Linked DNA regions of Mytilus edulis. The protein of the gene in region 2 purifies or fractionates together with the protein of the main gene of each other region. This does not show direct contact. Links are inferred from orthologs where the notes say so. Each region holds a gene or a part of one and is shown on either strand. Other genes may lie near its edges. The genes, in order: lysosomal aspartic protease-like and transmembrane protein 192-like.

Region 1 (16,262 bases), on a different chromosome or scaffold from region 2:
CTACCTCAGATATAAACTGCACAGTTCAGATGTACTCTAGTCAAAACATTTACTAAATGTTATCATCGGTAAAAGGATATCATTCTTAAATATAAATCAACATGCAGACTTCTTATACGTTCAGGCACAGTCGCTTGAATTTTAGTGATATATGTATGAAAAAAAAATACTGTAATATGTATAATCTAAATTTCAAGCGACTGTGGTTCTGGTATTTCACATCCAATATCTTATGCGTGGTAATATTCTTTACAAAGCACAAAAATGTCGGCATACACCTCAAAAGCCAACCAAACCCTAAAATAGACTTATTCGGAAAGGATATAGTTACGATACTGTTGTCAGGTCATTAAGGATTGCATATTTTGGTATTAATATTGATTCACTCATATTGTTTTTGCATCGGAAATAAACACATTTATTCTAAAACCAGTCAACTGTAATTGGCATGATACGGGTTATGTTCTTCTCATATATTTTATGATGGTATGATACTTAACCCCTAACGGGAGGGATTTTACTTGATTTTCATATGATGAAGACATAATCTTTCAATCAGTTTAATTGAGGTCTACAGGTGGCATGTCAGTAACTGCTACAAGTCCTTTGTTAATTTATGTATCATTGTCATTTTGCTTGGTTTCTTGTGTTGTCTATTCTGACATCGCACTCGGACTACCTTTAAACTGAGTTTTACTGTACGTATTGCTATGTGTTTCTTTAATCTACATTGGATATATATATATAGAGGTATAGGGGGAGGGTTGAAATCTCAAAAAATATGTTTAACCCCGCCGCATTTTCCAGTTGCGCCTGTCTCAATCCAAGAGCCTCTGGTCTTTGTTAATAAGGGCATACGATACAGTTACAGGGGAGGTAATGACGTTGCTAACGTAAAATGTTATTTTCGCGACGTCAAACTATGACATATCGGGAAAAGATGCATTTTTCGACTGATTTTTATCATTCAAACTGATTTAATTTGAAAACGAGTGCATGGACCCCTTTTTTTTAAACGGTAATTTGTTTCATTTTGCAAGGAGATTATGTGACCCAAATTTTATAAAACTGTAAATAGCGCAATTTTTTCAATTTTGATAAACATGCAGCAAAAAATGACGTTTTTTCCCCTGTTCATTAACATTTGATAAATATGAGTTATTTTTGAATAAAAATTGCATAATTTTTAATGATAATTATAAAATACAGAAATTACCGATTATTTAACAAAAAACAATTTGTGTTTATCTTTTAAAACAAAAAAGTTATGTCTCTCTTTCGAAAAAGAAAATACGGCCATAAATCTGAATTTTGAGCAAATATACAAAATTTCGACCTCATTTTACTCAAAAAGTAGCACATGAAGGTATATTTTTTATTACATATTTGATTTAATCAGGTAAGAAATAGCCGATATGCAAATTTTCATCAACTTGTAAATACAGGTTCAAAACTGTATCGTATGCCCTTAAGTCTTGTATGTTTTTTTTTTTAAATTTTAGTTCATTTATATGTTTTGGAGTTTATTGTGACGTCCATTTTCACTAAACTAGAACACAATTTTATTTAGGGGCTAGCTTCGGGTGCGGGATTTTCTCGCTGCGTTGAAGACCCATTGGTTGCCTTCGGCTGTTGTCTGCTCTTTGGTCGGGTTGTTGTCTCTTTGACATATTCCCCATTTCCATTCTCAATCTTATCTAATATCTTGAGGGGCGGATGCAGGATTTTCAAAGGCATATGGGTTTACTAGTAAATTGGAAATACATCAGACTTCGTTTACATGGGACATGTCTTCAGAATGAATAAAGATGAACAATATGGGAAAAGGGGGGGGGGGAGTTAAAGATTGAAAAGTTAAACTTTTTTGTTTGTTTTGTTTACTAAATGCACAATAAATTTATGTACATCTCTTTTCGGTTAATCTTCCTCTTGGCATATTCATTTAACGAGTTAAAAGTACATCAAACGGAACTAAAACTGTAGAAGATGTGAGTTATACGTCAATTAGACAGCAATCAAACGACAAAAAAAACACCTAATAGATATAGGAAGATGTGGTATGAGTGCCCAAGAGACAACTCTCAATCCAAGTCATAATTATAAAAGTAAACCATTATAGGTCAAGGTACGGTCTTCAACACGTAGCCTTGGCTCACACCGAACAGCAAGCTATAAAGTGCCCCAAGTGTAAAACCATTCAAACGGGAAAACCAACGGTCTAATCTATATAAAAAACGAGAAACGAGAAACACTTATGAACCACATAAGCATATCTATAGAGGGCAACATATAGTGTTCAACAATAGACAGGTGTATATATAAACTTAATCCAATATGTTGGTTTTAAAGCTCACTCAGAGCTTATGTTGTAGTATCCTGTTTTTTTTTCTTTAGATTTTGCATCTGTTGAAAAGATAAACTTTTCTAAAACTATTTGAGGATGTACCTACTAGGTGGATTTTTTTTAAATCTACAATTTAAAATTGATACACTAAGTCAAAAGAGCATTAGTAGGGAATCAGAATGTATGATTATTACCCGTGGTTATACACGCCGACACCCGGCTAACCGAGAGATTGGTAGGTTAATCTATATTGAGTATGCGACTATATGGGCGGTTGGTCTGTTAATCGGGTTTGTTATACGTATATATAAAAGTATATCTTTGAAGTTCTTTTATTGACAAAAATCTATATTACATAAAGACAAATATGCCAGTTAGAAAAAGGTTTATATTCGAACAACGAGAATTAACGGCAGTTAGAAGAGGTCATGAAAGTTTTACGATTTCCTATGTATCTTATCAGTCCTCATGAAAATCGTGCTTTAATGTTATTAAGTTTGTTTGTTTTTTTTGATTTTCAACTAAATTTTGAATATCCAACCGACTGCTAGTCATTTTTGCTAGTAGCCGGTTGGATATTGAATATCGAATATCGAATAACGAACCGGCTGCTAACTTCACATACATGATAAATACGCAGACATAAACGAGTGCAAAAGTAACATTCCTTATCGTTTGTTATAAATACTCTTTAATGAATACTGATAAAAATATTTTTGTTTATAACATAAATCAATAATATGAAAACATCATTGATAATATCTTGTGCACACGTACCGAAAAATTGTGTGAACTTGGTCGCATGTGGAAGAATACCTCAAGAACATTTTGCGGCAATCCCACAACAATCGGTAACTCTGCATGGAAGTTTGTCTTTGAGGGGAAATATGAATGCCTACGCATATCCAATCTTTTAGAAATCGAATTTTTACAGAAGAGTGTCCACCATGCACTTTCAATGCACTTTTATAAGAATAGTAGAATAAAATGATGTACCAATGGATGAAAATTATATATATATATATGTTACTGTTATATTAATATAATATATGTCACCAAACCAGTGTATACTGATGTGTATCACTTCAATATAATAGTCTTAAGTTGAGGTTGAATTTCCTGTCATTCATTCATCATCCACGCACGAATTTGTCTCAGAAAAAATATATATCTGTACATTAACCTCAGTTTCAGGTATAGAGATACATTTTATAGATTTTTTTTTCTTAGACATGTGCTTTTGACCATCCACAAGAACTTGCGGTCATCCGATGTTCAGTATTTCAGTACTTTGATTAGTATTTTGAAAAGTCTAATGGAAGTCTAGTATGAAGATTTGAGCTGAAACTTTAACGAATTACAAACTTTCTAGGAATCATTATGTTTCTGTTCTTTTCAATGAAATTTTATTGGTAGCTGTAGATCAGATTAAGCGTTTTGTGAGTTAAAACATATAAATCTCTGAGTACATTTGCATGTGATTAAAAACACTTTACTTTTGTAGAGTATATTTTTTTGTATCGAAAATAAATACATAGTACACAGTACGGACACTATAAGTAAGCAGTCAATATGAAAATAAGGAGATGTAGTATGAGTGCCAATGGATTAACTCTCCACCAAATTAAAGTTTAAATAAAATGAGTGTATAATGAATTAGACAACAATTTGTTGTTTTAAATAAGAGAGTGCGGAACAATAACGAAGTAGTTGATAAGGATTGGAGTCGAAAGCATTTGTTTCAAGCGGGGTTCATCGAGTTTACAACCTCAGTGTCGACAACCTAGTGATTACTGTAGGTATACTTCATAGATCGCTCGGCAAACCAGGCCTCGGAAATTATTTAACTGATTGAAAAAATATATGCCATTGGTATAATTGCCGATGAGACAATTCCATCTCTAAAAGAGAATTTAACAACTATCATAGATCACCGTCCTTCAAAAATGAGCAAAATCGATACGTCACAAAAAGCTTTAAAAGGCCCCAAATAAAAAAAATGTTTAAAACAATTCAAACGAGAAAAGTAACGCGGCCTGATGTATAGAGAATAATACATGAAAAAATCCGTATCATATGTCGTATCATCCCGAGACACCAATATCAGCCCAAGGGCCTTTAGGCCCGAGGGATCATATTGGTCGAGGGTGATACGGCATGTGATACGGATTTTGCCATGTTTTATACGCTTTATCATATATTTCAACAGGAGAGTATTATATTATATAATCTGTTTTCTGATCCATAGCACTGGGTTACCTTCCGTTCTACTTTTGTCTTGTTTTAAAAAGCCTCAAAAGAACTGCTCAATTACTTATCCGAAGCACCTGGGTAACCTGGGTAACCTTACAGTTTGCGTGCTGTTGTTTTAAAAATATTTTGTTTATATTGTATTTTTTATGTGTTTTGTATATTTTATAGTTGCATTTAGTGTGCTCAAAAATATGAAAACTTGACGTAGGGGTGTGATAAAGGGTAGGAGTGTGCTAAAGGGTGGATTAAACAGCAGGCTATTTATCAAATATTTAAAACTACTGTATTTACTACTAAACATATGATAAATTTACATAACAATAAACGGGAAAATAATATGATATATAGAAACAAATGACAGCCAACAGGTTACGTGTTCCTGACTTGGACAGTCACATTCAGAATGTGGCGAAGTTAAACACTTAAAATGCTGGCGCCAAACCCTTCTCTAACAGTGTTGAAACAGTACAACACATACAATATTGTGCCAAAGTTTTCGTAACTTCATTATAAGTCAAAAACTAATCAATATTCTATTAATTAACTGATATTAATGTTATACAAGTATGATGCAAGTAATATTTAAAATTCCACTTTGGTCTCCAGAAGAGTGGTTTAAATATATATTATATTTATTGCCGTTGAGTTGCTGTCTCATTGAAATATACTCAAATCAGGTTTTAATGAAAAAATAATGTTATATTGGAAAGAGGAACGCATTTCAACGTAGATAAATCAAAAATATAATATAAATTCATGTTTGATGTATTCTCTCCGTAAAATAGATGCGTTTCAAAATGACCATAACGCAAAAATAGTGAAGTTGCCTATAATATTATATATATAGTGAACGTCAAATTAGCGATGCTGTGACATTTTTATAGACCAACATGCGACCGCTTTGTTTTGATGATTTTTGCATTGCTCTTTACCTTATAGTTTAAAATATCAAAATGTTCATTTTGCAAAGGGATTTGACATTATGCTGATGTTTTCGAAAAACTAATCTTGTTTTTACTCTTTTTGAAGGTTTTAAACTACATACCCTTAATAATAGTAGACACCCATTCAACGCATCGATATCCGATACTTATCGATAAAAATATAATTATTTTCATTTTTATTTAGAATTTATCATACTGGCTTCATATTTCTGTTCTGAAAATTATAGCACATTAATTTTCGTTGTTTTCTATGGCCAACACCGAAATTACTAACGTAAAAAGTTTGTTAAAGGTTTTGTGACAGGGGACCTTTTGGGATTCATTTACTTAGTATTTGTTTTGTTTAATGTAAAATTAAGATTGCTGTCCGAATGAATGCCGTTCAAATGTTATAGAATAGGAGGCACGTTTGATTTGTACATTAATTACGCCAAAAAAGTGATTATATACAACGAATGAGAAGAAAAAGAAAAACAGTACTTCAAGAATGCAGTTATAATGAAAAAAATAATGACTAACGAATTTACGAACTTTTAAAAATAATGTCCAAATTAGCCATCATCATCATAATACAAAGATCAAATTAATGGAACAAAATCATCTACAGATACCGTACTTTTTTTTCATTCATCAAACTGGTAAACAAATAACTACCGAGAAGAAAATTCCATGCATGGTATTGTACTGACGGGATTAAAAAAACGAATTGATGTTTTCTGTCAATGAAAAAAAATGTGTGGACTTTAACGGTGCTTTTTTGTGGACTTTAGTGTAACTTGTTATTGTGGACTTTAACGGTGTTTTCTTGTGGACTTTAGCGGAGGTCATTTTGTGGACTTTAGCGGAAAGTTTGTGGACTTTAGCGGCGTTGTGGACTTTAGCGGCAAATTGTTGTGGACTTTAGCGGTGTTGTGGATTTTAGAGGAATTGTGGACTTTAACGGTGCCACAACGGTGCAACAGTATCCTTCTAGTAAGAGCATTTTCATGTTGACTTTCTTTGCATTTTATTGAAGGGTGTGTCACTTCAATATAGCGTGATATGGATTGGGCGCTAAAATATGCATGAATTTATTATTAACGTTTTTCAATCAGTCTTAATTTTTGTGTCTGTTCAAAGTACCACGTTCTAAAATCCGACTGAAAGTGTCTTTCTAATACAACACAGGGTACATATAACGTGTTGTCGTTCTCATATGCACATGATATTTGTCACTGGACGTTAAAACCCTAATTCGTCAGCATTATCCAATTGTTTTTTTTTTCTATTACTAATCATATGTTGTTTACAAATCATTCTAAAGAAGTAAATGGAAAGGAGCGAATCTAGCTACATTTGGTTATCTTAAGTTTTAATTCATTTATCGTTTAGTTCCTTTCTACCTACATAAGTGCAAAGGAGAACTGCAGTTGTCCGCTTGTACACTTCTAGCATTTGTCATCAATTTGAGTACATCACAATCCGTTACTGGGGTGTTTCATCTCTGTATTCTTAAAAAAAAAAAAATTTCTCTCTTTTTTAGCAATGCATCACTCTCTACTGTCCTTATCTACAATTCTATATTCTGCGTTTTTATCCAGATTCTCGTGTACACCTTGAGGGTCCGGATTGGATTTTTTGTTTATTTCTGTATTCTTTAAATTGTTATGTCACTTTTCTCTACATTTTATTTATTTTACTCATTATTCTTTATATTTTAGCATCCCAAAATAGTATCCGCAATACACACTGAACTTAAGATTTAAACCAAATACATGTATGAGTAGCTTGTAGTCAGGATAATATTAAAAGATAGAACTTTATGTTTCAACTCAGCGTGCTGGTCTTTTAAAGCTGAATACATTTATACAATATAAACATATAACATACAAATTATTTTCACCTTGCTTCTCAATGCTCTTCAACTTCGTACTTTATTTGGCTTTTTTAACTTTTTTTGGATTCGAGCGTCACTGATGAGTCTTTTGTAGACAAAACGCGCGTATGGCGTATATACTAAATTTAGTCCTGGTATCTATGATGGGTTTATTTACTTGCATATGTATGTCCGTTGCAGCTAAACAATCAATTATATCTATACATTTCCAGCAAAAATATTTAGAAAAATAAAATATAAACAACTGAAAATGAAATCAAGTGAGAGGACATTTGCCACATCTCAGCAAGGTCCGCAGTGACTGTCTTTCCAACTCGTCCAGAAAGCGATCTTTTCATTGGTGAACAAAACTATTAGCAAATTGAATTAAGGATATACTAAAATCAATTAAGTGTATACTAAAATCGTTATTCATGACCTTGATTCCGCGCGCCTATATTTCTGTATAAGCTGAATATTTCAGTATATGCTAAATTGATTTTAGGGTATCCTAAAATGATTTTAGTATATACTAAAATCATTTTAGTATATACTGAATTGACTTTAGGATACCCTAAAATGATTTTAGTATATGCTAAAATCATTTTAGGATATCCTAAAAATCAATTTAGGGTATGCTAAAATGTAATTTAGTATATACTGAAATCATTTTAGGATATACTAAAATCGATATTTATGACCCTGATTCCGCGCCATAGACTCAGTCAGGCTCTGAGCTGTGTGCCTCATTCAATAAAAATCCTGTGTAGCCTAGGAGTTAATAAGAGGGAACACATTTAATTATTGAACACAGGAAACTGCGTTCATTTAACATACTTCATTTTTTAATTGATATAAGACATTTGTGGGGAATGCATGGTCATACATTAGCCGAGACGTAGCTAGACTACTTATCACAGGACCGTATTGCAATCTTTGAAGCGTGACAAGGGACATGACTCAGATAACGCATCACGTGAACATTTTATCACATGATTTGGTTTTTATAAAAGTCCTTGTCAGCCGGTATCTTTTGCATTTACTGGAATCTCACCATGAAGGCATTAAATATTTGTTTGTGCATCCTTCTTGTTACCGTTTGCAGTGCATTACAGAGGTAAGATATCTCAAACTTCGTGCATACTAAAAAAATGTTGTTTTACGCACTTTTTGTTTGTTGTGTGATCATGACATCCGTAAAATTAAAAAAAGTGTAAGACACAGGACTTCCTTTGTATTAATTTTTTGCTTTGTCATGTTAGGTACTATAATTCAAATCGCATTCTGTATGGGAAATTTTGTAAAACTTGATTAACATTCGAATGGTGAAAATAGGGGGGGGGGGGGGGAGTAAAAACACAGGCACTTGAACTCCACTTGTTTCTGTCAATGTGGAGTTTACTATCCACATGGGCACTTGTTTCTGTTAATGGGGACATGTGGATAGTAAACTCCACATTGACAGAAACAAGTGTCTGTGAGTAAAAAATATGAACTTATAAAATAAAGTCTATAGATAAAGTTTAGCACAAGTGTAGTTAGTGACGATGAACCATATATATAGAGGAGAAAACTGATCTCTTGCGTTTGGAAACACTTAGGTAGACTTGGGTAAGTTTCTAACAAAAAGGGTCTGATTGGGGATGAATAAATATTTCTATTGCGCTACCGTAATAAAGTAAAAAAAACAAAAATAATGAACTGCAAGGAAAATTCAGAAAGTCCTTTATAAAGTGGTTTTGATTCCTAAGCTCAAACACATCTCACAAAAGGAAAACAACTGCAATATTCCTACATCAACTCTTATTTTCAGAATCAAATTGCAGAAGTTTAAGACAGTGAGAAGAACTTTAGCAGAAGTTGGCACATCCATAAAAGCTTTAGAATGGAGATATGGCTCAGATCAAATCAGAGGGCCATCTCCTGAACCCCTGGTAGACTATATGGATGTGAGTATTGTTTATAGTCGAAGAAGGAATTGGCATATTTATGAGCTACAGCTAGTGTAGACTGTCCTAGTCTGGAATTAACACAGAATCTGAGAATTGGGAAATTCTTAAACATCTATTGTGCATATCTTTTATAATGTTTAGACAACTTTCTGGATGGGGTTTACAGAAAAGATAATAAAAAGTGAAAAATAAAGAACTTTTAATTAGTTGATAAAATGTAGGGGGGGGGGGGGGGGTTGGAAGGCACATTATATTAATAATACATGGGTGATGGGTATCAGAGCAACTTTTCACACTATAATGCACTATAATTCTCAAATACAATTGTCTGGGTGGCTGGTGCTGACAAAAACTGCCTTCCAACACCCCCATACATTTTTTTCTGGAATAGCCCTTAGATAGGAAATGCCATTTCTTTTCTGTCATTTGACATAAGAATTGAACTTCCTATTTATTTGAAAGAAAAATTTTCTCCAGCAGTAATGAAATTTGAGCACATCCAATCTTTTTTAAAAAGGAGATAAATCTAAAGGCAATATACTAGCTATCAGCACAGTAAAACCTACATGTATATTATTGTTTTCAGGCACAATATTATGGTCCAATCACAATAGGAACACCACCTCAGACATTTAATGTTGTATTTGATACTGGATCATCTAACTTGTGGGTACCATCAAAGAAATGTCATGTCACCGATATCGCTTGTCGTAAGTACATGTATAGTGAAGTTAAGTGAACTCAATGACTTAATGTAATATTCAATTACTTGGAATTACTTAAGGTGGTACCCAATACTTTCACTGAAATTAATTTGGCTCGTTTAATTATAAAAATTAAAATAGATATGAACCAACCGTTTTGTCAGAAAAATTACACTGGTTATATATATCAATTTGATAAACGCCAATTTTGATCATTGAGAAGGTTAATATTCCTTTTACAACACAACGTAATTAAAATGTTTAGCTGAATTTACAGAGTTATCTCCCTGTAGTGTTAGGTACCACTTTAATACATATGATTAATGTTCAAGTACTCTATCAACAATTTCAATGAAGTGTGTTATAAATATAGATTATTTATCGACTCAAGAAAGTTAAATTTAGTGGTGGAAATCTGTTTCTCTACTGATTTCTAGTTGATATGAAGTCATACTTAATCCTTTTTCAAATGCTCTGCTGCAAGATTTGTTCTTTATATATGACCTCATCAGTCATGGTAGCCTTTTTTCCTGGTATCTTAATAGGAATTTTAGAGGCAAGTAAGAACATTTGACGTCATGATCAAATTTTGGCCAATGAAGTACTTATCACTATGGCTAGATTTCAAATATGAACTTAGTACAGATGGGTCCTACTTTTGAAACGAAATGAATGATATCATTATTGGCTTTTCAAAGTCATTGATCCCTAAATTACCAAATTGTTTGAATATTATTTGGTGGATTTTTGATTTTTTTTGTATGGCTATCAACATTACATTTGGAATTGAATGACATTGAATATTTGAAGATTTAAAATCAAGATGGAATGAATAACTATCTTACTCTATACATTTCATATAACATTCACATAACATTTATAAATAGTTTAAAGATGAAAGAAACATTAATTGAATGATTGAAGTCACATTTTAATATCATGACTGAATCATACATAATATTTTCTTTTCCAGTATTGCACCAAAAATATGACAGCACAAAGTCAAGTACTTATGTCAAGAATGGAACTGCCTTTTCTATTAGATATGGAACAGGAAGTTTGACTGGTTTCCTTAGCACTGATTCAGTCACAGTAAGTATCCATATGACAAATTACTAGTAAACAAAATAATAAAATTGAGAATTGAAATGGGGAATATGTCAAAGAGAGAACAAACCTTCCTCCGCAGATGACAACTGAAGGCCTCCAAAGATTTTTGTCTTCCTTCTGTCTCAATGAACAGCATAACAGAATTTTGTGATACTATGAAATTTACTTACTTGATTTACTATTGCATTTCATTTTCCAAAGTAATTTTTGGGGTTTACATAGCCATGACATGGACTTTGTCTTATCGATAAACTACATGTACAGTACACATCTCGCAAAGTGCATAGTCAGAATGGGACACTCTTGGTGTGCATCCACTCTTAAAACAATAGATTAAATCTGATATGAAATTATATGAATTTTGGGAGTGGCATTTAAAATGTTGCTGTGTCTTCTTTTTTTGCATGAATCGATAACATTTTAAAAGAAAACTTTTTTCGCTATTCTTTATAGATTGGGAGCATCACTGTGAAAGGTCAGACTTTTGCTGAAGCAGTTACCCAACCAGGAATTACATTCGTTGCAGCTAAATTTGACGGTATTTTAGGAATGGCCTATGAGAGAATTTCCGTAGATGGTGTTACTCCAGTTTTCTATAACATGGTTAAACAGAATTTGGTGCCAGCACCAATTTTTTCATTTTACTTAGACAGGTATGAATTACATTTGCATACTGAAGCATCACTAGTTTTCAAGAGTAGAACATAGTCACCACTAAATATGATAAATATTTTTATGTATGTGAATAATTGATCTTTAAGAATTGAATTTGTGAATGTTTTGCTATTGATAATCTTTGATTCCTCTGGAAATTTGTCAATAAAAATTGAGAATGGAAATGGGGAATGTGCCAAAGAGACAACAACCCGACCATAGAAAAAAACAACAGCAGAAGGTCACTAACAGGTCTTCAATGTAGCGAGAAATCTCCATTATCAGATTGAGTCATGAGTGGCTACAAGAAAAGGTTCAATCAGGTTCACAGTTATAATAAGTATACTCTAATCCTACAAATTGACTAAATTGAGAGTGTATTTGATTGTAGATATGATTTTGGAAATTCATTAGTTTCTGAATTTACAGTATTTTTGTCTAAAAAGGTAAAGAAGCATACATGTATGGTAAACAGAAATGAAAGCACATAATATTTAACTTATAACAGAACACTATGATATATGTGAAGCAATTGGTGTGTAGGACGGTTTTAATAGCCAGACATTTAACAGATTTCTGAAATTGAAGTAATACCATTGATAATCTTCTAATATTTGTGCTGATGAGGCTTAAAGCAATCACCAGAAACTATTAAACTAAAAATAAATAGGCCTCATTATAAAAAAAAACACCATCAGATTTCCCAGTCCACTATAAACTTCTATTGTTTATAATTTTTCTAGAGATCCCACTGCAAAAGAAGGTGGAGAGTTACTCCTTGGAGGCAGTGACCCAAAGTTATACAAAGGAAACTTTACATATGTTCCAGTCACCACTCAGGCATACTGGGAATTCAAAATGGACGGGTAATCTATTTATAATGATACATGTTCTTGAAAAAAAATGAAAATGATATACTGTGTATTCTGTGTATTCATTATTGTTCCCTGGATATTAAATTTTGGTGGATTTTGTGGGTAATTGTAAACCAATGAATTTCTATAGTCTTGTATACAAATGTTGGCATAATTAAACACTCAAATATCCAAAGAATTTTTCCCAAATACATGAAAATGTGTACCCTTGAGGATGAATGAAACTGTTAAGGCCAAATAAAAATATATGTGTGGTTCCAGTAACCCTACCGTCCCTACTTTTTCGGCTTAAAAAAAAGCCCACCCTAAAGATTTTATTTTAAGCACTGTTAAAGTCAGAATGTTGCTCCCATAGACTCAATGTAAAAAAAAAACATAAAATAAAAAAAAATCCCTACCTACCTACCCTAACTTTTTTTCAGATGTAACTGGAACCACACATACTTTTTTATTTGGCCTAACTTTATTATTTTGTAATAGGGAATTTGTTTTAAAAGTTTACCTAAATCTGATTAATTATAAATCCTAATATACAGGATATTGATCAAGATGAATAAATTGATAACCCATTAAAAGTCCATTATGCTGCACTTCAGCTTTTGCCCTTGACAAAAGGTTATTACATTTGTCATTTGAAATCAAGCCATAGATTATGTATGATAGATAACAAGTAAAGATGGTTTTATCAGTGGAAAGTAGAATTACTGATGTTGTTCAAGGTCAATGCTCCAATTTTCTAATCAATCCAATTATTGACTTTTCATCCTTTATAATTATTATCTAATCAAATGTTTGTTTTACAGTCCTACAAAATTAACTTGTATTTTTGATAGGACAAAGTAGATGATATATTTGATTTTACTTATACAGTCAGCCTTGATTACACTTGAAAATAGTTCATATTCCAAAGTTTAACATCTAAAGAGTTATCCATTGTTCTATACATTTGGTTTTAATAAAAGACTTGTGGAAATATGTAAATGAGTAAAGACATAGAATTTGTTTGTTGGTGCAGAATCAAAATCATCCAATAATTGTAGTGATTTGTTATCAACAAGATTATAATATGTATACCACAGCTCCTAATTTTATAAAGGATATTCTTATTATTGTATTTAATTTTCATTTTTATGTACTAGAGCACAATGAAACTACAAATGTACCAATACTGAATATTCTTTTTGAAATCTAAAAGTATGAGTTAAACTATACTAAAATCCTTAAGAATCTCTGAAACTATGAATGCTTATAATTATTGTTGATAAAAAAACAGATTGTATTTTCATGTATTGAAACTACTAACATGACTAAAAAAAGGAAATTTTGGTATGCATTAGGCCGAAAAAACTATATATATAAGTGTTTACTGTACCCTGAACGACCCTAAGTTTTTTGCACTGAAATTGGGCAAATGAAATTAATTGATATTGTGGTTGGCAAAAAAGTTCTTTTTGTTGAACAGCTAGTGAAATGCCTAAAATAATCATCAAAAAGCATTGTTTAAAAACACATCTAACTTACAAAAACAACTACCATAGCATTGTATCTCATGCTACAGTACAGCAGTGTCTTATTTAACATTTTGATGCTTTTCTCTCTTTAGAATCATGATGAATGGAAAACAATCCGATTTCTGCTCTGGAGGATGTAAAGCTATTGCTGATACAGGTACCTCACTCTTAGCTGGACCTGTTGATGAGGTCACAAAACTCAACGAAATGATCGGAGCTAAACCATTGGCACAGGGAGAGGTAAGAGGCTATTGTCTGTTGTATTTTTTTTTTAAACAAACACAGTTTTTACAATTTTACAACATAAAGTTGAATAAAAAAAGCTTTTTTTTGGTACATGTAATGTTTATTTTGACTTTTGCAGTTAAGCTTTTTTCTACTGCAAAATTGAATATTTATGTCATATTATCAAGAAGATACAACAGTGACCTATACACTTTTTCTCTTTGTAAGGTCCTGTAAGGTGAAGCTCCCATTTGAGGTTAAGGATTTTGAATTCGATTTTTACAGTGAAAGAGACTTTTTGCTTTAAAATTCAATACCAGGGGTTTATGCTAATAATATAAGAATGGAAGAGCACCACCAATAAATAAATGTGTGAAAATGATTAAAACATTTGTTTTGTTTATTTTAGTATGTTGTTGACTGCAGCAAAATTGACAGCCTACCACCAATAAGCTTTGTTTTGGGAGGAACCACCTTTACCCTAACAGGAAAGGAATACATTCTTCAGGTAACAATTTTACATTCAATATTCCATATGAATTAAAATTATGAAGTATTGAGCATGTAAATTTATGATGTAGTATGTTCTCATTGTCATTTGTGAGGAAATATAGTTTCTGTGGATTAATTTTTGTTGGTGGGGTACCAATTTTTGTGCATTTCGTGGATATAGGTGAACCATTAATTTTATGTCCAATGAATTACCAATTTTCTATAGGCTTCTTATGTCGTTTTTTCAAAACTGTGACTTCAAATATCCATGAAAATGCAATTTTCCTAAATCCACAAATATTGGTACCCACAAAAATAAAAAAATGAATCTACAGTATGTGGTTATCGACCAAATTGATATCTGATTATAATGGTTCTGGATATTTGTGGTTGAACACAGGTGCCGACTAGATGGATACCGAAACTCCATATAAATGTCAAATATAAGTTTTCATGGATAGGAGTTAAAAAGTTTGAATTATGTTAAGTTATTGATAAACACAGAGCATACAAACAAATGCAGGATTAATTCCGTTTAGATTCTTTTTATTTCATTTTAAAGTGCAAAGTGTACAGTACCTTCCAGCACATCGTAAAAATGTTTAAATAGCACTAAATGACACTTGCTTTCCCGTGTTCACTACACTGCTGACACACAATTCAATATTACCTTAGCTTGCCTAAACACACAGGGTTTAGACAAAAACAAAATTTTGTTGAATTTGACATCTAATATGATACTTATTGTTTTGCATTTTAGCTATCAAAGTTTGGGGTTACCATTTGTATCAGCGGATTTACGCCACTTAATGTTCCACCCCCAAAAGGGCCCCTTTGGATTATAGGGGATGTTTTCATTGGTGTTTACTATACAGAATTTGATCTGGGCAGGAATAGAGTTGGGTTTGCACCATCTGTAAAGCGTCCTAAGTAAACCTGGCTTAAAATTGCTATTGTGTCATATCTTTAAAACTCAATATATCTCTTGCGTAACAGAACATGGGAGATAACTCTTCTATGACTTAAGTTGTAAAAGTGTAGGATTATGAGAATTATGAATAGTAATTGCTAAAAACATTATTTAAACTGAATATTTGGGTTTCTTTCTGTCAAGGTTAAGATTAAATCTTTCAAAGCAAACTTGTTCTGAATAATTGAATGAATTAATTGTACCCTTGAACATGACAAAAAAATTATATGACTAGATCATGGGAATGACAAATTTATAAAGCCGTTATACAAGTATTTGACATAATCATTGATATTTTTTTTTCTACAAAATTTGTAAACCAAATTCTTAAAACTTTCATATTATTGAAAGATTATATTCTTTACTCCAAATT
Region 2 (15,761 bases):
TTCCAGACCTTCATAATTCGAATTCAGGACTGAGAACAATCAATTAGTTGGGACCTCTTGAATTATATAAAGGACATCAATATCAATAGTTCGTTTTCATGATATCCAGAAGTATTTCATGACCTCCATAATTTGATTTTAATGTATATACCAAAATCGATATAAGGATGTCATGAAATCTAATATGTTTCAGAGAGTGTCAATGATCAGAATTTCGTGAGTATGTTACAGACTGGCTACTTAATAGGTGTGCTCCACTAAGATTACGTTGCTGCTTTTAAAAGTTGTAAAACTTAATTCTCTCTAATTGTTCTATGTACCGTTTGTTAGGTCATTGATATTTATAAAAGGAAGGGTTAAGTTGATTATCATTAACAAAAAAAGTTACACAAGTCAGGAGTATTGTCAGTGTTTTTTTGTGATTTATCTTTTTAGCCCTTTTAAATTTGGTTTTAATGGCAGCCCATATCTCGTTTTTAAATATAAGCAATTTAGGGTTTGAAATATAATAACACTATTCTTTTTGTTATCTTTTTTGTGTATATATTACGGTCGATGTTATTTCAGAACCTCCATCATTCGAAATTCAAGAGAACCATCAATTATTGAGAACCTCTTGAATACCGGTGTATAGAGGACCTTAATGGTTCGTTTTCATGGTATCCAGAGGTATTTTAGGACCTACACAATTTGATTCCATGACCCCGGCTCAATAATTTGATTGGAATTTATCCTAAAATGTACTGAAATCGAATTGTGGCGGTCCTAATACATTTCAGAAGGTCTCACTAATTTGTAAATATCCTGAATTCGAAATATGCAGGTCAAGAAATATTTCTTCTCTTGTCTACTTCAGGGAAATCAGTCAAAATATGCACGTTTAAAACGTTTGATAACGACTAGTATACCATTTTGTATCCCAACTCTTTCAGATCTGCTAGACAAGCATCCACCAACTTCACTTCTTGACCCTTCATTCATTCTGCCTCTTTTAAGTTTTTTGTGTTTCTTGGGATGAAACAGGACAGTAAAGGATGTTCAGCCACTGACAAGAAAGTTATAAAATGCCTTTGGTTGCTAATGTTTGTTAACTCTTAATTATTTCCGCATATTCCAATAATATCATAGTGTGATTCTTATCTTTTAATTGTAACAAAGTTTTCCTTATTTTGTATTTTCTTCCTAAATTAAACCTGCCAGTTTTATATCTTTCATAAAATGGTGACACCAAAGATATGTTTTGACATAATTCTTCATTCTCATAGTCTTAAAATGGATCCACAAGTTATTGTCTGGTAACTCTAAGAAACATGTCTTCCCTTTGTAGGGCAAATACTTCCAAACGAAATCCCAGCCTTCCCTTTGGGATATGGCTCTTTGTGGTACAATTTCAGAGAGATCCATACACTTACACACAAGTTATGGTCCAAAAACTGCAAAAAGGTTTGTTTTTGGACCCTGATTCCTGAACTATTGGTACCACCCCCAAAATCACCTTAACCTTCCTTATGTCATAATAATAATAATGTGGAATTGGTAAAATTTCATAGCGATCCATTCAATTACACTAAAGTTATTGTCTGGAAACCAAACGTTTCATCAGATGGCTACATGATTGGATTATACGAACGCAAATTTTTTGTGGTAGTATAAAAAAAAACTCAAGACCATTTACAAGTAAAATACAGAAAAATGAAAATAAATATATTTCAAAATTTCTCTTTGTATTCTGTATTTTGGTTATTAATATCAAGTTTCTGTCAAAATTTCATAAAATTCCATGAAGGTTTGACAGCGTTAATGTTATTGGTACCTAATACTTGAAAATCCACAATTCCATGAAGGTTTGACAGCATTAATGTTATTGATACTTATACTTGAAAATCCACAGACTGAACCTAAATGATTTAATATGATATGAAATAAATGGGGAATGTGTTCATGAAACACAGATGATTCCCCCACTTGCACATAATGTTATATAAGGACATAACTGAAGAACAGTTAAAGTGATGCTATCCAAATTTGTACTTAATCTAAGTTTTGTGGCAACAAGCATTGTGTCACAGGTTTTATAACATTTGGTAGATGCAAACTTAATTTAAGAACAGAAACAAAAAACCTCAGCAATTTGTCTATATATGTAAAGGGACATAACTCTGGAACAATAATAGTGACACCATTAAATTTTTTACTTGATCTAGTAATATGCATTGAGTAAAACTTTCATAACATTTGGTTAAGGCAGATTAAGTTAAGAGAATGGAAATGAAAAAATCAGCAATTTTTCCATTTATAAAAGGGCATAACTCTAGAACGGTAAAAGTGATGCCATCAAAATTCAAACTTGATCTATGTTTTGTGGTAATAAGCATAAGTTTAATAACATTTAATTGAGGCAAACTATAGTCATGGAACAGTAACCAATTTTAATATGAACAGACATATGGACGAATGTACATTGGTAAAATTTAATGCCCCTCTGCTACTGTGGGGGCATAAAAATATTAATAACAAGCATTCTGTGAGTATTGCAAGGCAATACATAGTCCCCTACCGGTTAAAATTTCATTGTAATGGAACAAAATTCTAACTTGATCTATAACTTGTCATTGTGTAAACTACATAAAATAACAAACAAACCTACAACTGTATCTGTATTAGCCTGGTATCCCAGCACAATATCTAGCTGCTCGTAGTAAGGCTGACAAGATTAGCCAGGACCCAAGACTATATCTGTATGACATGTGAATAAATTGTCGATACTGATACTGGCTTTAATACAAAGGTTTGAGATATCGTTGTTTTCCAAAAATTAAAAATCTGGAAAACTGATTTGCAGGACTGACTGACAGACAGAGTGCAAACCGAAAGTCCCCTTGGACTCATCGGTAGGGGACTATTTAGTATCAGAAGTGCATTGTTTTAAAACTATCATTTTTATGGAATAAATGGTTTTGATATGTTTTAATATGATATTAAATAAATGGGGAATGTGTCCACTAATAGCTTGCTGTTTCGGTGTGAGCCTAGGCTCCGTGTTGAAGACTGTATCTAGACCTTTAATAGTTCATTTTTATAAATTGTGACTTAGATGGAGAGTTGTCTCATTGGCACTCATACCACATCTATTATGATATTTGAATTCAGATGAATTGTAATGTAAAACACAAATGTGATGTAACTCTTAGCTTCTGATAAGTCAAATAGCTAGGTGCCTTTGACTTATACAGGTCTCACTGTATTCAAGGAATTACAACTACCTCCAAAAAAATTATGAAGTCTAGTGATAATTAAATAATAAATATCCTGTTTATTGTTTTGTGATATTTTGAAATTTGCTTTTAATTGTATCTAGATAACTTTAAAATGCAACATCAATTATATCAATGTATCAAAAAGACATATACTAAGTATGACAACTGTAGAAAATACAACATTGTACAATGCATTCTATATTTCAAAAATTAGCACACACAAATCACAATAATACTGTTAAAATATTTTACTCAGCAATTTCAGTTTTACAGCTCTACCATACATGTATACTCCATATTTTTATAAATGTCTTGTATAGTGAGACATGCAGTGAATATTTTAATGTCTTTTAATAGCCAAACATTAACTTAATTTAATTGATTAAGATATATAGATTTGTACTCAGTTATGTAGAATAGAAAAAACATGCATCATATTTTTTATATCTAGTTGCACACCAGTAAACACATTTTACTCTGAAACTACCATAATTTTGAACACAACAGTTTTAATTAAAACACTGATTTCAATGTTAGTTTCAGTCTTTCAATCTATTTTTAAACTTATCTGCTGTCATAAATTGAAAATTAACAACCTTAAAAGATTTTTTGTACATTGTGTTAATTTTTTTCAGATGATGTTAAGACCAAAATGACTGTTTAATATTAAAATTCATTTTTGAATGGCCTTCTGATTATTCTGAATAATATTTTATATACCTAAATAAAATTATTATCATGAAAATGCCTCTTCATCAGGTACATAAGTTTCAACTGAATTATAATGTTCACCTAGTCCAAATGCATGTCTATGATAGCAAACTGTTAAAGATTCTGAATCATATTCTTCTCCTATTTTGATTTGTGGGCCTTCGCCTTGAATTATTTCTATAGGATGATGTAATGTACTTGACATAGCCTTGACCTCTAATTGACCTCCCCATTCAGCTGTCTCAGCAGTTTTCAGTAGAAATGTTTCAAAGTCTTCGTCATTGTAAGAATCACCATTTTCCTTGGTAAGAAATGGTAGGAATTCATCTGGATTGTCTGTAATTAGATCAAGCATCTTAATCTTTATATATCAACTTTTATTAATTTTGTGTTTTCATTAAGATAATGGAGAATGTGTCCCATACTCTGCTTATATATTATGTTATAAAGGCACATTATTCAAGAAAGGTGTTGGTAAAAGTGACACAACCCAATTTTGAACTTGATCTGTGTTTTGTGGTCTTAAGCATTGTGTATAAGTTTCATAACATTTGGTTAACATGGTTAATGTTTAAAACTTTAAACTGAAATTAATTTGGGACAAACAGACAGATGAACAGGATAACACTGAATGTCCTTCTGCTGAGGTGAGGCATACAAAGTCTTAAATATATCCCTATAAGTCAATTAAATTAGTTCAAATAGACACTAAGTAATGGTTCTATATATAAATACATGTACAAGATCAACATATAACAATTGAATTATACACTGAATAACTGTAATGTAAAGCATTTAATTTCAGCAGATTCATGATTGATGTGTAATTACCTTTTTGTTTTTAATTTTTTTATCAATGAAGTGCAAAAAATTAGTCATCTATGACTATGACATTTTATGCATTAACAGTACATGTATATAATGTATAAACTTTTTAGTTATGTATTGCTATACATCTGTACATGTCTACATTTAAATAGGTGCAAGCATCTTTTAATTATTTTTTTATGGGAGTGACAGTACTGGGACCCCAGAATGTTTCCTTGAAACATCTTTGAAATGTGCCTTGTGTATCTTGAATGTTGTGGAAATAAATACATACCTCTCATATACTGTGCTGTCTTCCTTCTGAGTGTTTCATATGTCTCATGTGGAACTTGATGACTAATGGCAGTATATAAACAATTTCCATCAGATGGTATCTCAAATATTTGCAAATTTTTAGTTTTTAATATTGATTTGATTTTTTCAAATTCTATATGTCTTGCACCAGTTAAATTTAGCAGTTCCTGTTCTTTAATTCTTTCCTCTCTCTCCTTATTTTTTGTTGCTTGTTTCTCTCGTCTTTTCATAGCCTTTGATACTTTCTTTTCTTTTGAGTCCTCTCTGGTTTCTACATCACCACCAGCAGCCTCACTGTCACCCATGTTATCATTTGTTTCCAGAGAACTAAGTCTGTCTGTTACCTTAAATATATGCATTCAATCATGGTTGAATATATAACAGTAAATGTCAATGAAGATGACTATCGTAAGGTACATGTTATACAAATTTCAACTAAAATAAAATGTCTTGTAAGTCAGAAATTCAAAGTTAACTGGTTTTTTTTTAATCTATTAAAAGGACTATGGAGAATTTCATTCTTCAAACATTAAAGTATAATTGGTTGATTTGTTATTGCTTATAATATTGTAAATCAATTACAGCTTCTGCTGTATATACAAATGTACTTTGGAAAAATCTGCATAAATGACTAGGATTTTGACATTAACAATAACAATTGTGTTCAGTGTATTAGCATTTACTTTTTCTTTTTCAACATAAAATTAAGTAAACGTACATATATATATACAAATGTATTTTTTGAAAGAATAAGTGTCAGCGTTTGAATGAGTATGTACAGAATAAGTATGTACAGCTTTTCAGAGTGCTCATGGTAGTTTGGCATGTTGATTTGAAAATGTTGGATAAGATAACAAGCAATGTCTATGAAATAAAGTCTGTCATTTGAATATAATACCTACTCCAGTTACATGTATATTCAGTTGCAATATTCAAGGATCACATACTAGCATCAAGCTATTGAATTCACCTTCCAGTCTGTTAAAAATAAGATAAGAATAAACTTCCAATGATAAAACTACAAATGTACCAACCAAATGCCAAAAAGGAGAAGATATTTGATTAAATTGATTTATTCTTAAATTAATTTGTCACCTCCTGGTTTGTTTTGTCTTTGAATTCTTTAAGTTCTGTTTCATGTTTTTCTGTCAGTTCTTTTTCTAACTTTGTTATCTGTTCTGCAATTTCCTTTTTCTTCTTTTTATCTCCCTTTGACACACTATGCTTTAACTGTTGTATTTTAGCCTGCAATTCCTTCTTTTCTTTTTTATGTCTCTTCACCACTGAGTCCTCTTCATTTTCAGAGTCACTCATTTTCTTTCCTATCTATATAGCCTGAAATGTATTATAATATAAAATAAGGTAAATATATGAGTGAGTACAGACTAAATATTGGCAAACACATCCAGGATAAAAGGGTCTAGTGAAAACATGTCATTTTCGCAAATGTACGGTTCCCCATATCCAACATACACAATAATAACAACTAAGAACTGGACCATATTATACATGTATATGTTCCAGACCATATGAGTATTTGGACCGTACGCGTACGGCGTACGGTCCGGACCATATACGTATACTTGTACGGTCGGACTGTATGAGTATACGCGTATGGTCCAGTATTAGCTGACCATACATGTTATTGGATAATATGGGTTACATTTATCACAATCTTTATTTTTAGTTTTACAAATTGTTATTATTACATAAGATGGATAAAATGAATTACCTAACAATTTAAATTAGATATTTGTTGAATTGTATATCTGAATCTTATTTTGAAACTCTCGCCAAAGGTGACACTCGCTACCAAAACGATATTTTTCATATTTACATTTTTTCAGTTCATGCATGTTCCTTTCGATTAGCATTTTTTTGAAAAGTTGCTAAATATTCTAAAGCAATTGTCCTCCCACATTATACGCATTCAATTTCAGTGGGAATAATTGTCATAATTCAATTAGTGTATTATGTATTACTGATCTACATGCTAAATACTAGAGATTTACAGATTTAATTAGCGTGAATTTTTTAAATAGTTAAAATGTAAAGTTTTTATTTCAATTACAATTGATTTTTTTCTATTTATTTAAGAGTTAAGTTATGTTAATCTGTTATATGTATTTGTATCTAGTACAATTGACCAACTCCTTGATATTAGTCAGACCGTACGCGTACTTTTCGAAAAAGTACGCATACGGTCCAGACCGTACGCGTACGGTCCAAATATTCATACGGTCTGGAACATATATACATACCGTTTTTTTTTTTTACAAATTCACTGCATTTTCACATACTCAAACTTTCAACAATTAGCAAAATAAACCACAAATGAAACTTCAATTTCAAACTCACTCGACCTGTATAAATTTAAAAGATTAAAAGAGGTCATCCTTGGAAATTAAAAAACAAGAAGTCATTCGCCTCAACATTGCTCAACACCTTCAAACTTTTTCACAAAGGATTATTATCAATGGAAGAGTCAACTGATTCCCGAAACTGAACATTATTATGTTCTTGTAATATCTGCTAACATCATCATAAACATCTTTTAAAATCTTTTATTATTGGGAAGAGTTGGCAAATCTTAATTCAGTGGGATAACAGACCTTTATTCATAGGGATCTATCTGAGACCTTTTCATGTAAAGCATCCATCCATCAACATCATGAGTAGGGCAGATTGGCAGGCCAAAATTTAGGTTCTTTTTAGCATTTTTAGTCCCCTACTGAAAAAGTTGAAGGAGAATTTAGGTTTGCTATCTGTCTGTCCCTCTGTCTATTTGTCAGTCTGCCAAATCAGTTTTCAACTTTATTTCCTCATGATGCTTGAAGATATACATTTTATATTTGGTGTATTATTTTATCATGACAAGTTTAAAAAGATCAAGTTAGAATTTTGTTCCAATGCACTGGATTTTTATCTGGTATGGGGACTATGTATTGGCTAACTTGCTATCAATACGCACAGAATGCTTATTCAATTGTAGGAGGAGTTGGTAGAATGTGGGCCGAGTAAGTAGAAAGAGGGGCGAGTTTGTCTCCAGTGTTATTTTTAAAAGGGACGAGTTGGTATGGGGCGACTGTTCTTTCAAAAGGGCTACACATATCTCTGACCTGTAGTCAAGCCTCTTTGAATGAAAACGGTTAATAGAATACCTACACTGACAATAAAAAATAGAAATATGCCGTAATTATCAAGTAGTTCAGGCTTTGTGAACTGACAGAAAAAGCTATGCGAAATCGCAAAAGTGTGTCCCAGTGACCGGAAGTGAAATCTTTTTCGATGGAGGGGAGAATGGTCTAGCGATTTTTATTTTATTTTGGATAAATATTAATGAAATCTTTTACTGGATTTTGCGACGTGACAGTTAAAACTTTCCTGATGAAATAATGGTCAGCTTATCTAACGAATCGAGACACACAGGGGTATGACTTTCACTGCAGTCTGCACTCTCATTCGTCAATTATGACATTTTAAAAAAATTTGATCAGTTGACAGTTGACTGGCATTATAAGCATAAGGCCAAGGAATTGTACACAATAATACGGAAGTAGATTCGTTTTATGTATCAAGGTTCAGCCGTAATGTAAAAAAAGTACTGGGTGCACATGTTTATGAACTTAAGGTTTATGTGTACCATTTGCCTAAAATTACCGTATTTTCTCAAGATTTACTCTGAGTTAACAGACTGACACTACAGACAAAACTGTGCATCTGGAAACGTTTTAAGGCATAGCATGCTCTAGATAAATAGAATTCAAATGCATTGTATGATTTAGAAAATTCATAAATTAACCGGATTTTGCCTTGCACTTTTTTTCGTCCCTGCAGAAGATGATAAAATTAACTAACAGTTGAGTTTCCCTTGATATGGTCCACCCAGGTACACAGTTTAAATCACCAATTATTATCAGGTATCTATTGTTCGTGTCAATCAATACAGCTCACCCCAATTATTACATGTGGGGAAGTTCTCAAACCTGTTTCCCAACTTAGTTTATTTTGGCACTTTCTGGAGGAATGAAAAAAAAGTGCACTGCAAAATCCTGGTAAGTTTTTATTTTTCTAAAACATTAAACATATTTGAAATTTATTTATCTGGGGCATGCTATGACTTAAAATTTTTACAGAATCAGCGCAGGTTTGTCTGTAATCAGAGTAAATTTTGAGGTGAACATGGTGAAAATACGGCCATTTTAGCCAAAGGGTCCACATGTACATGAACCTTAAAGTAGAGTTGTGGTGTAAACAGGTGTCATAGATGAAAAGTCATCACACAACATCCCTGTGGTACAAGTATCAAATTGACAACACATTCGCATCCTACATATGTTCACTCACTACACATTAGATCTTGGGTTGGTTCAGACCCTCTTTTTATACAAATACAGAATTAACATGACTAATTAGTTATATAAACATGTTTAATAGACAAAAACATCACATGTAGGCTTAGTATAATGTATTCCGACGTCCAACAGCTGTTTTGCCAGACAAGCTCTGACGTCCCACGGCCCCAGCTTGACTGGCAAAACAGCCATTGGAGTCAGAGTAATCTCAGACTAAGTATTGTATAATGCAGACCAAATCCCTACTTTAAAGACAACTTGGAGGAGTATAAAGACAACACAGATCAAATTAAAAGCTACTTGGACCAGTTTGTCAGTCAATTAAAGTTCAAGAATTTGAGCATTTTTAATTTGAAATCTACCTTGCTGTCCACAAAAGTTTAAACGGTTGAACAATTCCTTATTGGAGTTAAAATGCCCTCAATTGTCGATTCTACCATTTTTTTTTTTTCATTTTTTCTGATTATTTTGAAAACTAAAAAACATGTGTGTAAAAGATTAAGAAATTTTAACCAAACTGAATGTTGTGATTCACCTGTTGTCCATTTACATCAAAAACTTTTTTAGAGGAGTTATTGCCCTTACAAGTTACATGTAAGTGTAAAAGATCTTACAAATATCATTATACAAAACAGATGCATTTACCATTTCTACTATATCTACAATTATATAAACATAAGTTTTAACCCTAAATGAAATATATAACTAAAAATGTACTGAAAGTTTTTATTAATAATATAGCTTCATGATTGTTGATTAGTACATGTATGACCAATTGAGCATCTGACTGGTCTATGATTAAAGCAGCTATATCTGGTGGCAGAAATAATACTGTCAATGCAAATACATGTACTTAAAAATGCGATCATTGTTTATTACAGGGCTATTTTTTCAATGAGGATGGATCAGGACAGAACAAAGATACAGAAGACTTACTATCAGAAAGTCCTGCTTTAAGTGCTGAATTGGATCCCCCTTTTAGAAAAATTCACATAGTTTGGGCTATTGTAGTGGAAATACTACTCTTTGTAAGTTTCAACTTTAAATATTCAGCAATTGAACAAAAGAGTTTTCCCCCAAATTTTTCAATGGTTCATTTCCTGATCAATACTTTTGTATTTTGTGCAGACATGGTTTTATTGATATGGAAAATTTCTTATGTCAACTTTTTAAAACTGTTGATTTGTTTTATACACAAAGTTTTGTCTTCCCTTTTACTTACTTGTAGATGACCTAGTTTGTCAGCACTACTTTTTATACGACCGCAAATTTTGAAAAAATTTTCGTCGTATATTGCTATCACGTTGGCGTCTGCGTCGTCGTCCGGCGTCCGAATACTTTTAGTTTTCGCACTCTAACTTTAGTAAAAGTGAATGGAAATCTATGAAATTTTAACACAAGGTTTATGACCACAAAAGGAAGGTTGGTATTGATTTTGGGAGTTTTGGTCCCAACATTTTAGGAATTAGGGGCCAAAAAGGGCCCAAATAAGCATTTTCTTGGTTTTCGCACTATAACTTTAGTTTAAGTTAATAGAAATCTATGAAATTTTGACACAAGGTTTATGACCACAAAAGAACGGTTGGGATTGATTTTGGGAGTTTTGGTCTCAACAGTTTAGGAATTAGGGGCCAAAAAAGGGCCCAAATAAGCATTATTCTTGGTTTTCGCACAATAACATTAGTTTAAGTAAATAGAAATCAATGAAATTTAAACACAATGTTAATGACTACAAAAGGAAGGTTGGTATTGATTTTGGGAGTTTAGGTCCCAACAGTTTAGGAATTAGGGGCCAAAAAGGGACCCAAATAAGCATTTTTCTTGGTTTTCGCACCATAACGTTAGTATAAGTAAATAGAAATCTATGAAATTTAAACACAAGGTCTATGACCATAAAAGAAAGGTTGGGTTTGATTTTGGGAGTTTTGGTCCCAACATAATAAGGGGCCCAAAGGGTCCAAAATTAAACTTTTGTTTGATTTCATCAAAATTGAATAATTGGGGTTCTTTGATATGCTGAATCTAACTGTCATGACTGTGTATGTAGATTCTTAACTTTTGGTCCCGTTTTCAAATTGGTCTACATTAAGGTCCAAAGGGTCCAAAATTAAACTTAGTTTGATTTTGACAAAAAATGAATCAGTTAGGTTCTTTGATATGCTGAATCTAAAAATGTACTTAGATTCTTGATTATTGGCCCAGTTTTCAAGTTGGTCCAAATCGGGGTCCAAAATTAAACTTTGTTTGATTTCATCAAAAATTGAATAAATGGGGTTCTTTGATATTCCAAATCTAATTGTGTATGTAGATTCTTCATTTTTGGTCCTGTTTTCAAATTGGTCTACACTAAAGTCCAAAGGGTCCAAAATTAAACTTAGTCTGATTTTAACAAAAATTGAAATCTTGAAGTTCTTTGATATGCTGAATCCAAAAATGTACTTAGATTTTTTATTATGGGCCCAGTTTTCAAGTTGGTCCAAATCAGGATCTAAAATTATTATATTAAGTATTGTGTAATAGCAAGTCTTTTCAATTGCACAGTATTGCGCAATGGCAAGAAATATCTAATTGCACAATATTGTGAAATATCAAATTTTTTTTAATTAGAGTTATCTTTCTTTGTCCAGAATAGTAAGCAAGAAATATCTAATTGCAAAATATTGTGCAATAGCAAGATTTTTTTTTAATTGGAGTTATCTTTCTTTGTCCAGAATCAACTTAAATCTTTGTTATATACAATATACAATGTATATTCACTTTTTACTACCAACTGATAAATTAAAATAATCTTTACCATTCAGTGATAACAAGCAGTTTTTTTACATCTTAATATTTTATGATGTATTTAAATGAGTAGTTATTGTTGCAAACTCCATTAGAAATTTTAATTGAGATTAGTTTTGGAATAAGGGAAAGGGGGATGTGATTAAAAAAATTGGGTTCAATTTTTCTCATTTGAAATTTCATAAATAAAAAAGAAAATTTCTTCAAACATTTTTTTGAGAGGATTAATATTCAACAGCATAGTGAATTGCTCTAAGAGAAACAAAAATTTTAAGTTCATTAGAACACATTCATTCTGTGTCAGAAACCTATGCTGTGTCAACTATTTAATCACAATCCAAATTTAGAGCTGAATCCAGCTTGAATGTTGTGTCCATACTTGCCCTAACCGTTCAGGGTTCAACCTCTGCGGTCGTATAAAGCTACGCCCTGCGGAGCATCTGGTTGTAACTTGAAGTGGGTTTTTTTGTTGGAAAATTCTAAGTATATAGCATTTGATCCTTCATTTTACAAATTGTTATTTAAATTCTTGGACAGCCATTTTCCTCTTTTTTTTCTATATTTTTACTTTTTATTTATTTTTCAGACTGGTCTGGTCATAGCTACCTTTGTGCTACCACATATAGCAGTATTACAACCTGATAGAAATGCTACAAAACATGAGGGTAAACATTTAGGATCACATATTGATGAAATATCCGTAGCCTGTTATGTCCATGGAGGACTCTGGTTTGTCCTGCTTGGGTTTGATCGATATTTGAGATACCACCATTACAGACACAGAATGTGTGGATATCTGGAATTTTATCGAAGAACGAGACATTTACGTAAAATACCTTTGCTAGCAAATTCAGCAGGTGAGTGAAATTATTTTGTTAGGATATTGTAGTGGATATCCTAAGAGAAAAAAAAATTGGTGCATGGATTCATCAATGGAAATTTAAATTGTGTACAGTGAATTCATAATTATTCTGATACCAATTTTTTGTGGATTTTGTGGGTACAAGTGAACCACGAAATTAAATGTTCAAGAAATAAAAAAAAAATTATATGCTTGTATGTAGATTTGGCAAAACCACGAAATCAAATGTCCATGAAACATGCAAGTTTTCCTTAATCCATGAAAATAAATGAATTCGCAGTACACTATGTATTTGTTATTATTATATTCCATAAAAATAAAAAGATGTGGTATGATTGCTAATAAGGCAACTATCCACAATACTTCAAATTACAAATGTACATGGATGTGAGTGATAATAGGTCCCTGTACAGCAGTCACCAATGAGAGAAAATCCATATGTCAGCTATTAAAGGCCATGGCATGAACAAACAAGAAAACTAATTTAACACAAGTCAATTTATTAAAATCAAACATAGACCAATATGGACCAACAACAAAATGCATTTATTGGTAGGAAGCACCAAGATATCCTAGAATCCTATAAATTTCCTTAAATCACAAATAGTAACCTAGTTGTCATTAACGTTTATTCTATGGGACATACATTTAATTATTTTGATTCTGTACATGTTCTGTCTTGATGGAGTAACTTTGAGTCTGTTTTTGTCTGAGACAAAGTCAGTTATTTTTAATCTATTATATTATATTACTATTGATTGATATTTAACAGGTAATGCTGCCTTGTTAGTAGTTCTGAAGATTTTACAAGATTTGAATGGAACCCACACCGATCTATATATAGAAATAGTGATTGCCTTGGAGGCTGTGCTAGCTGTGTCAGTGCTGATGATTTATCTTGGTAAATGTTATCAACAATATTCATAAACATTTTAAATTTTGTCAAAAATAATGTCTGGAAAAATCTGTTTTAAACTTGGTTTAAATTTGTTTGTTTTTTATTGCAACATAATTTGATTAAGTTCTTTATCATTTTTATTATCTTTTCAAAATGTACACTAACAAAAATACATTGCAAGAAAAATTCAAAGTCCATCAACAAATGTCAAAATCAAAAGCTCAAACTCATCAAAAGAAAAGAAAGCAACTGTCATATTAACATGATATAATTTGCAGGCATTGAGTTATGTTCAAAATCCAACATGCCTCAATACTGACTCATTTGAATAGGTATCAAACTACTAATTAAAATTTGTTAAATTAAAAGCTTAATTTGTATTTCTTATACCATGTATACTTGACCTTTTCGTTACAATTTTTTGTTACATTTGTAGAAGAGTTGATAGAGATTAAGGGGAGATAATTCTTAACATGAGAATGATAATGTGGAGATAATCTATCATTTTTTAATAGAAAACTTTGAAAAGATTGAAGACTATTGAGATACCATTGCATTATACATTTGTAATTTGCACCCCCTCTCTTTATCCTGATTTGAGCCCCCTCTCTTTTAAAAATGACTGAATCCACCTCTGCATCTTAATGTGCTAGAATACAAAATATATCCAACAGATTAAGAAAGTAGTGAGACCTATAATGTACATTGTAGTTGTGAAAAGTGCATTTTAGTAAATATTTCATTAATTTTTTTTCAGTAGAAACAGTAAAGTTCAATAGTTTACTGATGTCATCTGATATTGCCCAAGATGAAATAATCTCTAGTTTCATTCATTTTTTTCAGTAAAAACCGTAAAGTTTAATAGTTTATTGATGTCCCCAGATGTCGCTCAAGATGAAATGATCTCTAGTTTCATGCAGAACAGTGGTACTTCAGAGATTGGTTTTAGGTAAAGTATTTATGACATAGTTTTACAATTAGACAATAGAACTTGATATTGATAGTCCTGGTTATAAATCACATTTCCTGAAATTTAGGAGCCCCCCCACCCCTCCCCTTTTATGGAGTTTCATATAGTTATAGGATAAATACATAGACACATCCACACGTGCATATTGCCTGTTGGCAAACATTTAGAGTGAATACTTAAGAGGATATACAGTTCTAAGATATATGTAGGTCCATTTCAGCGCTACTGTGTATGCTGGTCCATACAGCTAGTTGCTACCAGGTGCCCATACTTGACTGGTCCTACTGAAATTATTGTCTAAAGACATTATATCAACAACTTGGTTATTTCATACTATTTGACTGAAATATTACAAGTCTATATTATGTCAAATGGAAGATTGGTCGATTGTTTTTTGCTTAATGTCCTGAAATAGAAGCAATCTGTCACATGTTTTGCTGAATATTTATTTTTTCAAATTCACCACAGTAATATTTGGATGCATTGACTTTTTTTTATATATGTATGAAAGCAATTTTAGCAGACGTTTTATATTTATGACCCTTTTTCAAATTTCCTAAGTTTATATGTTTTTTCTTCTATAACATGCACCAGTATCCTGCATTTTATACTTCACTTTATTTATTGCTTTTACTTTTGTCATCAGTCCTTTCTTTGCTGTACATATTTTTGGCTTTTTGCTCTTCCCTTAAAAGGATCCACATTGTGGAAATTTTTCATATTTTGCATGAATAATGTTTGCAAAATTTGTTTTGGGATGAAACCATAATTGCTTTGAGCTAAATATTGATCCTTTTAGTCA

Evidence for each region.
Region 1: the proteins of transmembrane protein 192-like (region 2) and lysosomal aspartic protease-like purify together in Homo sapiens (affinity purification with western blotting; 3 studies listed by BioGRID, with this or other methods). This does not show direct contact. The link is inferred for Mytilus edulis from reciprocal best matches to the Homo sapiens genes TMEM192 and CTSD.

The regions. Positions count from the first base shown.
Region 1 is NC_092350.1:72,005,824-72,022,085, reverse strand, and holds the start of lysosomal aspartic protease-like, read left to right. Parts: upstream 1-8,121; 5' UTR 8,122-8,451; coding exon 8,452-8,513; intron 8,514-9,209; coding exon 9,210-9,345; intron 9,346-9,934; coding exon 9,935-10,058; intron 10,059-11,025; coding exon 11,026-11,144; intron 11,145-11,615; coding exon 11,616-11,815; intron 11,816-12,559; coding exon 12,560-12,682; intron 12,683-14,294; coding exon 14,295-14,442; intron 14,443-14,836; coding exon 14,837-14,935; intron 14,936-15,679; coding exon of another isoform or gene 15,680-15,853; exon of another isoform or gene 15,854-16,262. UniProt on the Homo sapiens protein: Acid protease active in intracellular protein breakdown. Plays a role in APP processing following cleavage and activation by ADAM30 which leads to APP degradation.
Region 2 is NC_092348.1:90,364,287-90,380,047, forward strand, and holds the start of transmembrane protein 192-like, read left to right. Parts: upstream 1-8,383; 5' UTR 8,384-8,485; coding exon 8,486-8,521; intron 8,522-10,326; coding exon 10,327-10,473; intron 10,474-12,815; coding exon 12,816-13,086; intron 13,087-13,863; coding exon 13,864-13,992; intron 13,993-14,832; coding exon 14,833-14,938; intron 14,939-15,761. Other genes in the region: deubiquitinase OTUD6B-like, read right to left, coding at 3,994-4,304, 5,071-5,434, 6,186-6,404.